Linked DNA regions of Bombyx mori. The protein of the gene in region 2 purifies or fractionates together with the protein of the main gene of each other region. This does not show direct contact. Links are inferred from orthologs where the notes say so. Each region holds a gene or a part of one and is shown on either strand. Other genes may lie near its edges.

Region 1 (6,582 bases), on a different chromosome or scaffold from region 2:
CTATGACTTAAAGGTAAATAGCAGTCAAATATTTAGGAGATTAAGCCGTAATAGTAGTTTTATTGTGATTGTGTTAGATATGTCTAAGAAAGAAGACACACCAACACACCAATACTTTTATTGCAATTTATTCCTCCTCCTTTTATTGCTATCAATACTATACCATTTTATAATGATAGCTGGCTACCGAAACATAATTCAAATTGAAAAAATTTAGTGACACTAGAGCATTTGGTGAGCAAAAGTTCCTACTGTGCTAATTGTCAATAGTTATGCACTTTCTATTTTGACAATACAACCTTTGCATATTACAATTGAAATCTCAACTAAGTCAGCAGCCTCCATTTTCCAATGTTTATGCGCTCTAGTAACCACTTATCACTAAGTTTTTTTTTTTTATATGATTGAAGGGTTACTGGTAGGAGTGGGTGATATAAATCGTATATAGATTCAATATCTATATATCGCAGCAATATCGTTGAATCCGATATCGCCCCGCACGAAATCTATATATCGATATCAGCCGATACACGATATTGCTCGATGTGATGCGCATCGCCATATCGTACCGATTCGTGAATCGAAATCTATATTTCGATATCAGCCGATACACGATATTGCTCGATGTGATGCGCATCGGCATATCGTACTCTTTAATATCAGCAATATTCGTTTGGTTCGTATCGAATCGGCCAGAGTGAGTGAGCGCACGATAGGGATATCATGTGATGAATGAAACAGAAACAGGCATTATCCATACAATTGTAAACCTTATATTTAAGCCCATATGTCTGTAGATTATTCTTAGCGTATCAGCAGGATACAATTAAGGAAAGAAGTTTCAACTTTCGACCCTAACTTGAATGCAGTATAGCCTATTTGCATCGTTGAATTTAATTTCACGCGCTTTGACCTTGAACTAGAATTTTTGGACAAGTGTTTATAAATACTTAAAAAATTTTTGTGTTTGATTTTTAAAGTACACATTTTTCTATTTTTAGTTGAATCCAAATAATTGAGTTTATTTCTTGTGTTTGTATTAAACTTTTGAAATCTACACGCTTTTGGTATATTTTGTAATTTTAAATTAAGACACAAAATACTAAAAACTGAAAATAATGTAGCCAGTCCTAAGCCTGGTAAAAGCATGAAGGAAAGTTTTTTTGATATTTTTATTTTCATGTTCTTTTTATTACTTTAAGATCATATTATAAATTGATATCAGAAAACCAACCGTATAACGTTGACTTAAATCTATATCTACTACGATATTATATCAGCGTATCGTTTCAAATCTCAAATATCATGAATGGAGAAAATCTACTAGCATCCATCAATATATAGATTCAGAAAATATATAGATTCAATATCCGATATTGATCCTCGATATATAGATACGATTCGATACGCGGCAAAACCGATATTACCCACTCCTAGTTACTGGTGGCCCTGAGAGGTCTTTCCAGTTTCACCAGGACAGGTGGGCGAGCAAAGGCTCAGCCAGGAGGGGTGGGATTTGGTGGGATAGGTAGGGACTAGATTAGGGATCTCAAAAGCAGCTGCTGCGCGAAGGAATCTCTATAATGAATCACTAAGTGTGCTATAAGCTAATTAATGAGTTACTCAACTACAACAATAATAAACACAATCAATTTCCTCATATTTACATACATATTCTGTTATTGCTGTTTGCTCTTGATAAATGAACAAATTGTAATTTAACTTTATTATCTTACCAAGTGCTTCAAATTGTTCTGATATCTGAAATGCCAGTTCCCTTGTTGGTGTGAGTATAAGTGCAAAATATCTCTGCGGGTTCTCCAGTAGTGCTTGAAGTATGGGCAGGGCAAAGGCACCTGTCTTACCAGAACCTGTCTCGGCAAGACCAATGATATCTTTGCCTAGTAACGCGACGGGAATAGCTTCTTTTTGAATCTTAGAGGGTTTCTTCCATTTCAATTCTTCACAAGCCTCGCAGAGTACGTCTACAACTCCCTGTGGTTAAATGCAAATATAATCTTATGTTAATAACCTCAAAAAGTGTTATTTTTATTCAACGTTGAAGCAATTTAGTAAATCTAAGGCACCATTTGATATTAAAATCAATAAAATTATATTACAGTATTTACTTAGTATTACAAACACAGTTTAATGTAAAAACTTACCAAATCCTTAAATGTTATTTTATCATCTTCAGTATCTTCGTTGACATTTTCGGTTGGAGTTTGTTCCACCTCACTATCCTGGTTGGTTTCGTCTCCATAGCTTTCCTTGTCTGCAGTCATTTTCTCTAAATTATCATTGTTTTGGGGAATACAAAAAAGACGCGAATATTGAAAGCATGTGTTTGAATTAGGGGTATGCTGATTTCTGATTTCTGATTTCTGAATCTATCACATATAATATGTGACGTATGTGTCACCAAAGAAGTAAAACTGTCAAAAGTATACTTGACAATTAAGACCGATCGCAAACCGGCAATTAGACTTTTTGGTGGGAACGCGAGGAGTGAAGTTGTGTGATTTGTTTTATTTTGTCTATTTAGTGTTTCTTCAGGTTTAAATGTGTAATAACGGTGGTTTATTAACTGTTTAATATCTGTGACAGTGCACAAATGTGGGAAAATGAAACAAAGCCACTGGACGTAACTTCTCGGGATCCTCCAAAAAGTCCACTGAAAAAATCTCAGTAAATGACCACCATTTTACTGAGATTATATTTCATCCCATATCATCTCATCTCATTTCATTTAATTTCATCCCAGTTGATTGTTGTCTCAAATTAATCATCTTCATTTCATTTCATATTATCGTTTTCCATAAAAATACCCCATATTATATCATCTCATCTCATTTCATTTTATGCCATGTTTCATAAATTAATACACTTCATTTCATAGTATCATATTTCATAAAATAAAAAAAAATATATAAAAGGTTAGGCTGTATGCTATGATACCTTTGCCTTTCCATTTGGAAAAATGAAACTACTACTACTACTTATCTATGGTGCCAAATTATAGGACATGGCTTCGGCCTTAATGAAATTTTTATTTCAGGATATGAGTCGTCTATTATCAAAGGTGGCAATCTGTGCATTTGGACAAAAAAAAATTATTGATATGTCAATACAGATTGTTTTGAATATAATCGTCTCCTTCAAAGAATACGGTTCAAAACCTGCATTAAATAAAGGTTAATAGTTAACCTGTTATTTATCTAAGATGTCGTTCCGAAGAGTTTTGTGACTGCCAATGGAATACAAAGTCAATAATTCGTTTTTTCTGATTTACCAATCATTGTCCAAAAGTCAGATTGCCGGCTTTGATAATAGTCGACTCATATAATTTAAATCCTATAAGACCTGGCTTTGGCTTTATTATAAATTTATATCAGAAATTATATAGAACAAATGAGGCGGTATGGGCTTAGATCCCTTTGCCTTTCCTAATAAGGAAAAATTGTAACAAAAAAATATATCTATGGTGCCACTTGTCAAAATTACCGGGTCAAAATCGTCAAAATCTTTGTAGGTTATTCGATAAAAAAACAGTAAACGGCAAGTTTGATAATAACAATCAAAGAACATTCGCCAGCAGACCAGACCTAACTAAAAACATGGCAAAGCATCATCCAGATTTAATTTTCTGCAGGAAACAGCCCGGAGTCGGTTAGTAGTATTAAAAAATGGAAGACAACCAAGTTTAGTGTCGCTTGTTTTAATGCTATTTCTTATTTTTCCAGCTATTGGACGTTTATGTGAGAAATGTGACGGAAAATGTGTGATTTGCGATTCTTATGTGCGTCCGTGCACGTTGGTTCGTATTTGTGACGAGTGCAACTATGGCTCGTATCAGGGGCGATGTGTGATTTGCGGCGGGCCTGGAGTATCTGATGCTTATTATTGTAAGGAGTGCACGATACAGGAGAAGGATGTAAGTTTTAATTTTGTAATTTTTGAACTCAAATAATCGCATCGAAATCATTAATTTAAATTTCCTCAAATCAAAAAACATCGTTATATTTTGATAGTTTAAAAACTCACAAGAAACTAGTCAACCTGACTTGATCAAGTGACCTGATAATGATTGTGTGCGTCCCCAATATCATGTACATTAAGCCAAGCCTAATAAAATGTATAGCCAAAAGGATTGTGGCATTGAAGTGGCATTGGGCAGGACACATTGCTCGTAGAACAGATGGCCATTGGGGCCAGAAAGTTCTTGAGTGGCGACCGCGTATCGGAAGACGTAGCGTGGGTAGGCCTCCCACAAGATGGACCGATGGACGATGGCAGTGGACGTCTGTGCGCTGATAACAATAATAATAATAATAATAATACATATTATTATGCTAATAAAATTGTTATTTTTCACAGAGAGATGGCTGTCCAAAGATTGTCAATTTGGGAAGCTCTAAAACAGATCTGTTCTACGAGAGAAAGAAATATGGGTTTAGGAGACACTAGCATTAGGTTTCTTTTTAGTTTTTAAATATTAATTTCTGCAAAGTTTCTGTTATTTAAAATAATAAAAACAGAGGTTTTTCTCAACTAAAGTTTGATTGAAATACAAGTTTGTTTTTATCAACTACTTTGTTGTTGACTTTTTAAAGCCAACGGCTATTATGATCAAGTATGGTTTTCAATGTCTAAAGAGTTGCAGCTCGGGTCCAAGAGAAATTCACATATATTTTTTTAAATTCATTCATTTATACAATTGGATTGTTGTTATCGATGATATCTGTTATTTTTTTACAATTTTTTTTATCCTTTGTTTATTCAATGCAGATTAGTTTTCATTTTCCAACTAGAAAGAAAATACTTGAAAAATACATTTAGTTTTTGCATTTAAATTATTAAGATTCATTTTTATTTTTTATTTTTCTACTAAATTGTCAATAAAGATATTTTTGACTACCATGTGCTCTGTAAAACTACAGACAATATGTTAGCAATATTCATGTATGTAATGAGAGTGATTGTACTGTGTGAATGTTGTCTGTCATATTTTGAAAACTATGTTTCTAGTGTGTACTTACATTAAGACATTATGTAATTATTAATAAATGCATTGGTATTACACATTTAATGGCCCTACACTACCATTTTCTCCTTCGTCATGGGTCTGGGAAACAACCAAACATAACTAAGTAATTTCTAATCAAATATCTTTTGACTATCCGGGAATTACACATACCTGGACTATATTATATCTTTATATATATATATTTCTTATGTGCGTGTGTGTGTCACTGAACTCCTCCTTAACGGCTGTGCTGATTTGAATGATTGTGTTTGTATGCATTTGGGTGGCACCCTGGATGGTTTAGATTCACAAATCAACCCAGCAGAGGGCGCTGCAGTCGGTATCTAGGTTATTTATCTTTCCTAGAAATAATTTATATGGTAAAACAACATTTGCCAGCTAGTAGTATTATATAGTACTAGTCAGTAACACTATATAATTACACAATGAATTAGGTGGTCAAGCAAATATTTTAAAGTTATGGTATTGAATGAGAAAACTATTATATCGAGGGGTGAAGGGGGCTATTTGGTTTAAGCGACATTTTTGCAACTACAGGAGAGCCATTTAAACTAAAGTAACATTTGGAAAAAATATAATAACAAAAAACTTCTTCAACTATTTGAATGGGGTAAACTTAATTGAAGTTTAACTAAAAACATCGAATTGTTGGTACTAATAATAAATTAAATGAACCTTTAATTACGAAAATTAATTTCGGTTAAACCAAATAGTTTTCACCCCTCTCTCTATATACTGTAAAAACGGAGACTTAGAACTCATACCTCAAGGTGGGTGGTGGCACTTACGTTGTAGATGTCTATGGGCTCTGGTAACCACTTAACACCATGTTCGCCGTGAGCTCGTCCACCCATCGAAGTAAAAAAAAAAATGTCTGAAAAGACTGGGTTATAAATATAAAAGCTTTTTCAAATAAAAAAGACTTGGAAATCTAAACTGGTTTTTATTTCACTCAAACGTAAATCTAAGCCACCAATTACAAAAATAAAACTTACGACATTTTTTGTTAAATTCAAAGCTTTATTTGAAACTAACCGAAACAGATATGGCTTACTGTTTTATAAATATAGACATTGTTTTACAGACACCATATTCATCATCATCATGCTTTCCTATTACCCTCTGCTGGGGTGTAGGGCTCGAATCAAATTTTTCCATTTGTATCGGTCTTGGGCAGTCTGTTCTAGCTCCTCCCACGTCATGCCCAAGACCCCTAGCTCCTGCTCCACCGAGCGACGCCAAGTTGTTCTGGGGCGGCCTCTCTTCCTTTTACCAGACACTTTCCAGGTCAGTGCTTTGACACCATATTACATAACAATTAATATACAATAAAGATGAAAAGTAATAATTCATCTCTTCTAATTTCTGCCATCTCATATTAGAAACATCAATAGAGAAATGGCTACTGGTCAGATTAATCAAAATAGCCTTAAACAGAACAAAAACAACCTCTATGTTATTTAGGGGCCAAATTAAAAGACTAGCTAACTAGATCATGAACTAATTCACAACGACTATCCAAATCTGACTTCAGG
Region 2 (6,614 bases):
GAATAGTAACTCTATGCTGATTACCCTTTGATTCGTCCATTAGACAAGCAAAAGGAACGCTGCCCATGCAGTAAGAACTTTTTGTCCCAAAGGTCAGTCACGTCTGTGTGTCAGTCACGTCATCGCGTCACCACGTGTGAATGGTTAAATAAAATGGAAAGCAAGCAGTTTAAAAATTTGAAACTGAAAGGTAACTAAATGAGGTGATGTAATACACCACTGTAGATGTTAGATGAGAAGAAATTAAATAACTCCAGTATACTTGTGAAACGCTTAGCTCTTAATTAGCGACCTTTACTACAGTTTTTAACCGGAAAAACGCCAAATATGCTTTCCCGCCAAAAATATTTTTTATAATTATCAAATTTTTCATTAAAGTCGTCGTGGCCTAAAAAAGGACGAAATGTTCGATACGTTCGTATTAAGCGATGCAACGATGTTCGAATCCGGCAGGCGAGTACCAATTTTTGTAATAAAATACTTTTTTTTTTATTGCTTAGATGTTTGGACGAGCTCACAGCCCACCTGATGTTAAGTGGTTACTGGAGCCCATGGACATCTACAACGTAAATGCGCCACCCACCTTGAGATATAAGTTCTAAGATCTCAGTATAGTTACAACGGCTGCCCCACCCTTCAAACCGAAACGCATTACTGCTTCACGGCAGAAATATGCAGGGCGAATACTTAACAAATGTTCACGATTGACTTCCACGGTGAAGGAATAACATCGTGTAATAAAAGCATTCCCGCAAAATTACAATTTTCGTAATTACTGGTGATAGGATCTCGTGTGAGTCCGCACGGGTAGGTACCACCACCCTGCCTATTTCAGCCGTGAAGAGGTAATGCGTTTCAATTTAAAGGGTGGAGCCGTTGTAGCCGTTGTAACCCATTGTAACTATACTGAGTCCTTATAACTCATATCTCAAGGTAAGGGGCGGCATTTACGTTATAGACGTCTATGGGCTCCGGTAACTACTTAACACCAGGTGGACTGTGAGCTCGTCCACTCATCCGTCCGTTCAAGTATAGCACCTTTTGGGGTCGTGGTCTAAACAAAAAAGACAATAATGTTCGAAACTTTGGGTGGCTTGTCCACCCAGCCCTCAAGACAATACAAGATAAAATATACGTAAAAACAAAATCTATACACTGAGGCCATAAGTTTTAAATAATTGGTGCCAAATTCCAATTCAATCAAGGAATTCAAGTCTAGATAAAGATTCCTTAATGAATAAAAGTACATAATATTTTCTTTACAGATATGGGGTATCGATTTAAACACGGAACGGAACTAAAGGACTACTATGATGACGGAGTAGAACAACACAAATCAGTAAAGGCTCTAAAGCTTTGGCGCAAAGTTCATACAGATTGCAAATTTTATTTTAAAATAAAGCTAACAACATCTATACACGAAATATTTATTTCATACGAATCATAAAAATAAGAACCATGAAAAAACTCCTTATAGAAGTCCTTGGCGTTTTAAATCTTCGAAAGTCTTACGATTTACAACATTGCCTTGAGAATCTTCAAATTCTTCATCATTCTCTGCCACGAAACGTTCAGTTTCTTTCTGTTGTTTAATTTTCTCCCACACTGAAAGTAAGTATGTGTTTTTAAAACAACCTTTAATAATTATTTTTTCATTTGGTATTTACTATAATAATAATATAATGACTATAGGAATAAATTTTAACACTGTTGTTTTTCGGAGGTGCTTAAATGATGAAGTTTATCAAAAGCAAATGCCGAATTGTAGAAATAAGCCTTAGTACAGTTGAGAAGGCAAGAAATACAGCTAAATTTGATGTGTACAAAAAGTTGTGAAACAAATTAAGAACGTTAACTTACAAGCAAGGGCATCTTCAATTTGTGTGACATTGGCAAAATGAGCTGTATTCGGTATTCCAAGACATCGCATTCCGTGAGCGTGTCTCCACTCCGCAAAATGTCTCTGAAACGCTTTCGGTCCCTTGTATGTATAGTTCCCGCAAATTTCGCAATTGTAGCTTATATTGAGACCGTGTAACTTGTATAACCAATATGGAATAGGCTGAAATACCATTCTTACATTTATTATTATGGAATATGTAAAAATTATTTATATCTTGTTTTGGAATCTTTTACAGTATATTCTCACTGATCCGGCACTTCACTAGACTGACATGTCCAATAATCTGGCACTCTCCGTCCACGCCTCCCTCGCCCCTCTACGCTTATGCGTATGTAATGCATCAGAAACAGAAGAAACAGGAGAATGAGATCCTGAAGTGATATTCTATCTATTGCCGATTGATTACAAAATCTATCAGAAAGAGGATTGAAGTTGAGTTGAGTGAAGAAGGGATCGAAGAAACAGAGCAAATTATGACAGATGTAGAAATATGCGAAGTAGTACAAGAAGAAGAAACCTTTAAATACAACTGTAAGAGTTAAACCAGATGAAGCATTTAATTGTTTCAATACCTGCATGACATGGGCAGAAGAAAGCGTCATTTCTGCCAAAGGTATTGTTATAATTCTTCTAAACATGCGAGAAGAGGTTGTTAAGCAAGGCAGTGCGTTTCCAGAGATCTTTTTTGCCACGTACCATCCGGCTATGGAATGAGCTCCCCTCCACGGTGTTTCCCGAGCGCTATGACATGTCCTTCTTCAAACGAGGCTTGTGGAGAGTATTAAGCGGTAGGCAGCAGCTTGGCTCTGCCCCTGGCATTGCTGAAGTCCATGAGCGACGGTAACCACTCACCATCAGGTGGGCCGTATGCTCATCTGCCTACAGGGGCAATAAAAAAAAAAAAAAATGATTTTTTCTCTATAATCCAGATTTAACCGAACATTCCATTAATCCAGCACCCTCTGGTTTTTAACAGTTTTTAACAGTACTGAATTAGTGAAATTATACTGTAATTACATTTGGCCAAAATATTTCAGCATCTACCGTTTATGCGATCTTATTAATGTCTATTTGTATACATACATACCTAGTCAGGTCATAAATTCTGTCACATGTTTAATGTAAAATAATTGAAACAATTTATTCATTATGTAACCATTCATATACCAAAATGAACTTAACAAAACATAGATTCTTATGACACTAAAGTTTATTCAAATTGACCTCCGTGATTTTGAATACAGGCCTTCAATCTGCGCGGCCAGTCGTCTATCGCAGCACGAACGAGGTCCATGTCAATATCGGCGGCTGCCTTAATCAAGGATGTCTTGAGTGACTCCAAATTGGGATGAGGCTTTGAGCACGCCTTTTCCTCCAAGTGTTGCCATATCTTGTAATCTAACGGATTCAAATCTGGACTGGAGGAGGGCCAGTCTTCGTGCCGGATGAAGTCGATTTCACGCGCCGCCAGCCAGTCTTGTGTGCTCTTCGCTCTATGAGCTGGCGCCGAATCTTGTTGGAATACCCAGTGCCTGTTATTGAACATGGTATGAGAAACAGGTTCCACAAGGTTCGTCAGGACTGTATTTTGATACACAACTGCATTCGTTTTTACACTTTTCTCACAAAAATGTACCTCTGTTAAGCCCCAATAAGAAACTCCCAACCATACCATGAGCGAGGATGGAAAATGACCTCGTTGGATACGCGGAATACGGTTGCTCGCTTCTTCACTACTGTGTGCGTACACCTTATCATTTTGTTTGTTGTAGCTCTCTTCTACGGTAAAAATTTTTTCATCCGAAAAAAGAATTTCCCGATATTTTTTTCCTGCGTACCGCTTCAACAAAGCGCGGCATCTCTTCAGTCTCAGGTCCATTAGACGAGCATTCAAACGATGTCCTGTTTTTCTTCGATATGCCCGAAGCCCTTTTTTTTTTTTTTTTTTAACGCTGGGGAATCCATTTACGGATACCCGGTCCGGGGGGGTAACGAACCGGGTTATGTCGGACTCCGGCGCCTCCTGAGAGGAAGAGGGGGACGAGAAGGTCCTCCACCTCCCCGAATTTCTCGCAAGAGACTACGCCTTGAAAAAGGCGCGCGAAGCACTTGCCCCGCAGAACGACTACCGACTAAACCCCATCGAGCTCCACCACACCGGCTACACCAGACATACGGTACCGCAGTGCGCGCCGAAAGTCTGCCTTCGCCGGTATCCGTCCTGATGATAAGACGGGATTTCATATCCGGGAAAATCCCGAAGGACGTCATTTCGGGAGATACACCGTGGGCGGCGCACAGGAGCCACCTTGCACCGCTCCACCACCGGACCGACAGTCGAGTACCGGGCGCCCCCGCACCCGCCACCTGATAGTCCCTACGGGGGCTGAGCGGGAGCTTCACGCCCGCGCCGGCCATCCCGCCTTCTGCGCTGAGGTGCTGAAGAGGGATCCCACTCCCTTTCACGCTCCTCAGCGTCACGGGACGCCATTACCAGGTCACAAAACCTGGCCATGGCCTCCCAATGCCCGAAGCCCTAAGTCTTCATTTAACACCCTTTTCACCGTGGTTCTGCTTAACCCCATCTGAAGGGCCAACAGTTTCTACTTACGTTTGGGATTTCTTTGAATTCGCGCCTTCACAGCTTTTATCACTGCTGGAGTCCTAACAGACCGAGGGCGACCACTTCTTGACCTGTCATCTACACTAGAGTCTTCATTGTATCGTTTGATGGTACGATAAACGAATCTTTTGGTTATATTCAAATTTTTCAGTATGTTAAAAATTTGAATTGGCGCGTAACCGCAACGATGCAACGCAATAACTGCAACACGGTCTTCTTTAAGCGTCCACTCCATATTTAAAAATGAGTAAAATTCTAAAAGTATACATTTTTATTTTCATGAACAAATCGAAATTCGAATTCAATAAACTTTTTTGTGGCCAGCATTCTAAAATAAAAGTTTTTACTGTGTGACAATACTTATGACCTGACTAGGTATTTATAAAATTTCGCCTGCATATTTACTTTCTAATTCTGTTGCAGAATTATGCAGTTAATAATTATGAGGTTTCAAAGAAGTTCATGCATATGTATTCAATGCATATTTATTTATAAAACATGAAACAAATCAGAACATTTGAACCTCAACCCCAGTCATAGTTGCATAATTTGATATGAATAGACGCGATGTCTTGCCCCATCAGCCTGTTATTTACTAATACATGAGTAATGTTTACATTCGAACTGTTTTTCACAACTTTAGCAAATAATAATCTAAAACTCACCTTTCCATCCCATCCCAGTGGCAAATTCTTAGGATTATATGGCACTTCATCATCATCTGAATCAAGGTCTGGTGCTGCAGAAGCATCACTTTCGTCACCGCTTTCGTCGCGACGTTCACCAGCAGCTCTTGCAGCACGACGCGTTACATTTTCAATAGTTGATGCTCGTGTACTACTTATTATAGTCGCGAACCTATGGAATTCAATCAAAATAACACCTTCTTATGTTAGTTTCTTTTTAGGGCAAAGAAAGCCTACACTTAATGTATTATCCTGTCTTGTATACACATTAAGCTTTTCCTCATGGCTAACCAAATCAATATCAATTGCATTTGTATCCTACTCTACTATTAGTCCTAGTATCCTATTTACATGCCTAGAGTTAGAGATAAACCTTCTAGTACTGTTCTGGTACAACTTTTCATTATATTAGCTCTACCGTTGCTCCACTCCAGCCTCGCTTGCACAAAGAAGTTGCTTTCTAAATCTATCAGTTTTCACTCTGCAGTCTAAAAACTATATTCCTTGCATGTTGCTTAGATGTTTTAGTTAGTAAATTATAAAATTAGTAACCAACACTATTTTGAATATTGATTTGGATATTGATTCTTTATTGTTTGGTAATTGAATAATATATTCTACAATAATCTACTTACCTATAAACCTGTGCTTCAATTGCAGCAATGTCTTTTTGTCTTTGTTGTGTGGTAGCCTTTGCCTTATTTCCCTTTTTCGCAACAAGAGACTTGTCAAGGGCTGTTTGACCTTTAGTGCTAAACAACCTAGAATAAAAAAAATATTAAATGTTTTTTTATAGTATTGATAAGAGGACGAGCTCAAAGCCGACCTGCTGTGAAGTAGTTACCGGAGCCCATAGACATCTATAACGTAAATACGGCCACCCACCTTGAGATATGAGTTTTAAGGTCTCAGTATAGTTACAATGTTGTAAACTTACGAAAAAAAAGCTAATATAATACTCACCTCTGTGCTCTTTCTTCCAAAGTTCCACCACATTTTAAGCCGAGAGCCATAAGAGCTGATTTTAATCTGTCCAGGCCAAGAGACGCCAACTCTTCCCATGATGAAAAAGCCGACAGATCTAAATGCGCCCCCACATTTGTTAAAGCTCCACCAGTTTCTTTCTACAAGAATTTAAATGTCAATGTTACCAGTACTAATCATTTTCTAAATTTATTTTCAAAATTTAATTTCAATTCAATATATAATAATACTAAACAAAATTATTTTCATAAAATGAAGTACACAATTATATTTTTATAATTTCATACTTACAGGCCATCCTGGAAATGTACCAGACTCCCATTGTTTTAAAAACTCCTGATGCCCTAGAGCCATTTCTTGAGCCTGATCCAAAAGAGGTTTAACTCTGGACACAAAATCTTTCATATAAGTGAGCAAT

What was found. Proteins that work in one complex are often made in the same cells at the same time.
Region 1: the proteins of splicing factor 3A subunit 3 (region 2) and Phf5a purify together in Homo sapiens (affinity purification with mass spectrometry; 3 studies listed by BioGRID and IntAct, with this or other methods). This does not show direct contact. The link is inferred for Bombyx mori from reciprocal best matches to the Homo sapiens genes SF3A3 and PHF5A.

What each region holds. Positions count from the first base shown.
Region 1 is NC_085114.1:14,382,841-14,389,422, reverse strand, and holds Phf5a (PHD-finger 5A), read left to right. Parts: upstream 1-3,562; 5' UTR 3,563-3,617; coding exon 3,618-3,669; intron 3,670-3,743; coding exon 3,744-3,934; intron 3,935-4,377; coding exon 4,378-4,467; 3' UTR 4,468-5,084; downstream 5,085-6,582. Other genes in the region: ATP-dependent RNA helicase DDX47, read right to left, coding at 1,737-1,995, 2,166-2,285.
Region 2 is NC_085112.1:8,788,844-8,795,457, forward strand, and holds the end of splicing factor 3A subunit 3, read right to left. Parts: coding exon 6,488-6,614; intron 6,337-6,487; coding exon 6,176-6,336; intron 5,974-6,175; coding exon 5,848-5,973; intron 5,385-5,847; coding exon 5,192-5,384; intron 2,063-5,191; coding exon 1,861-2,062; intron 1,606-1,860; coding exon 1,472-1,605; 3' UTR 1,414-1,471; downstream 1-1,413. UniProt on the Homo sapiens protein: Component of the 17S U2 SnRNP complex of the spliceosome, a large ribonucleoprotein complex that removes introns from transcribed pre-mRNAs.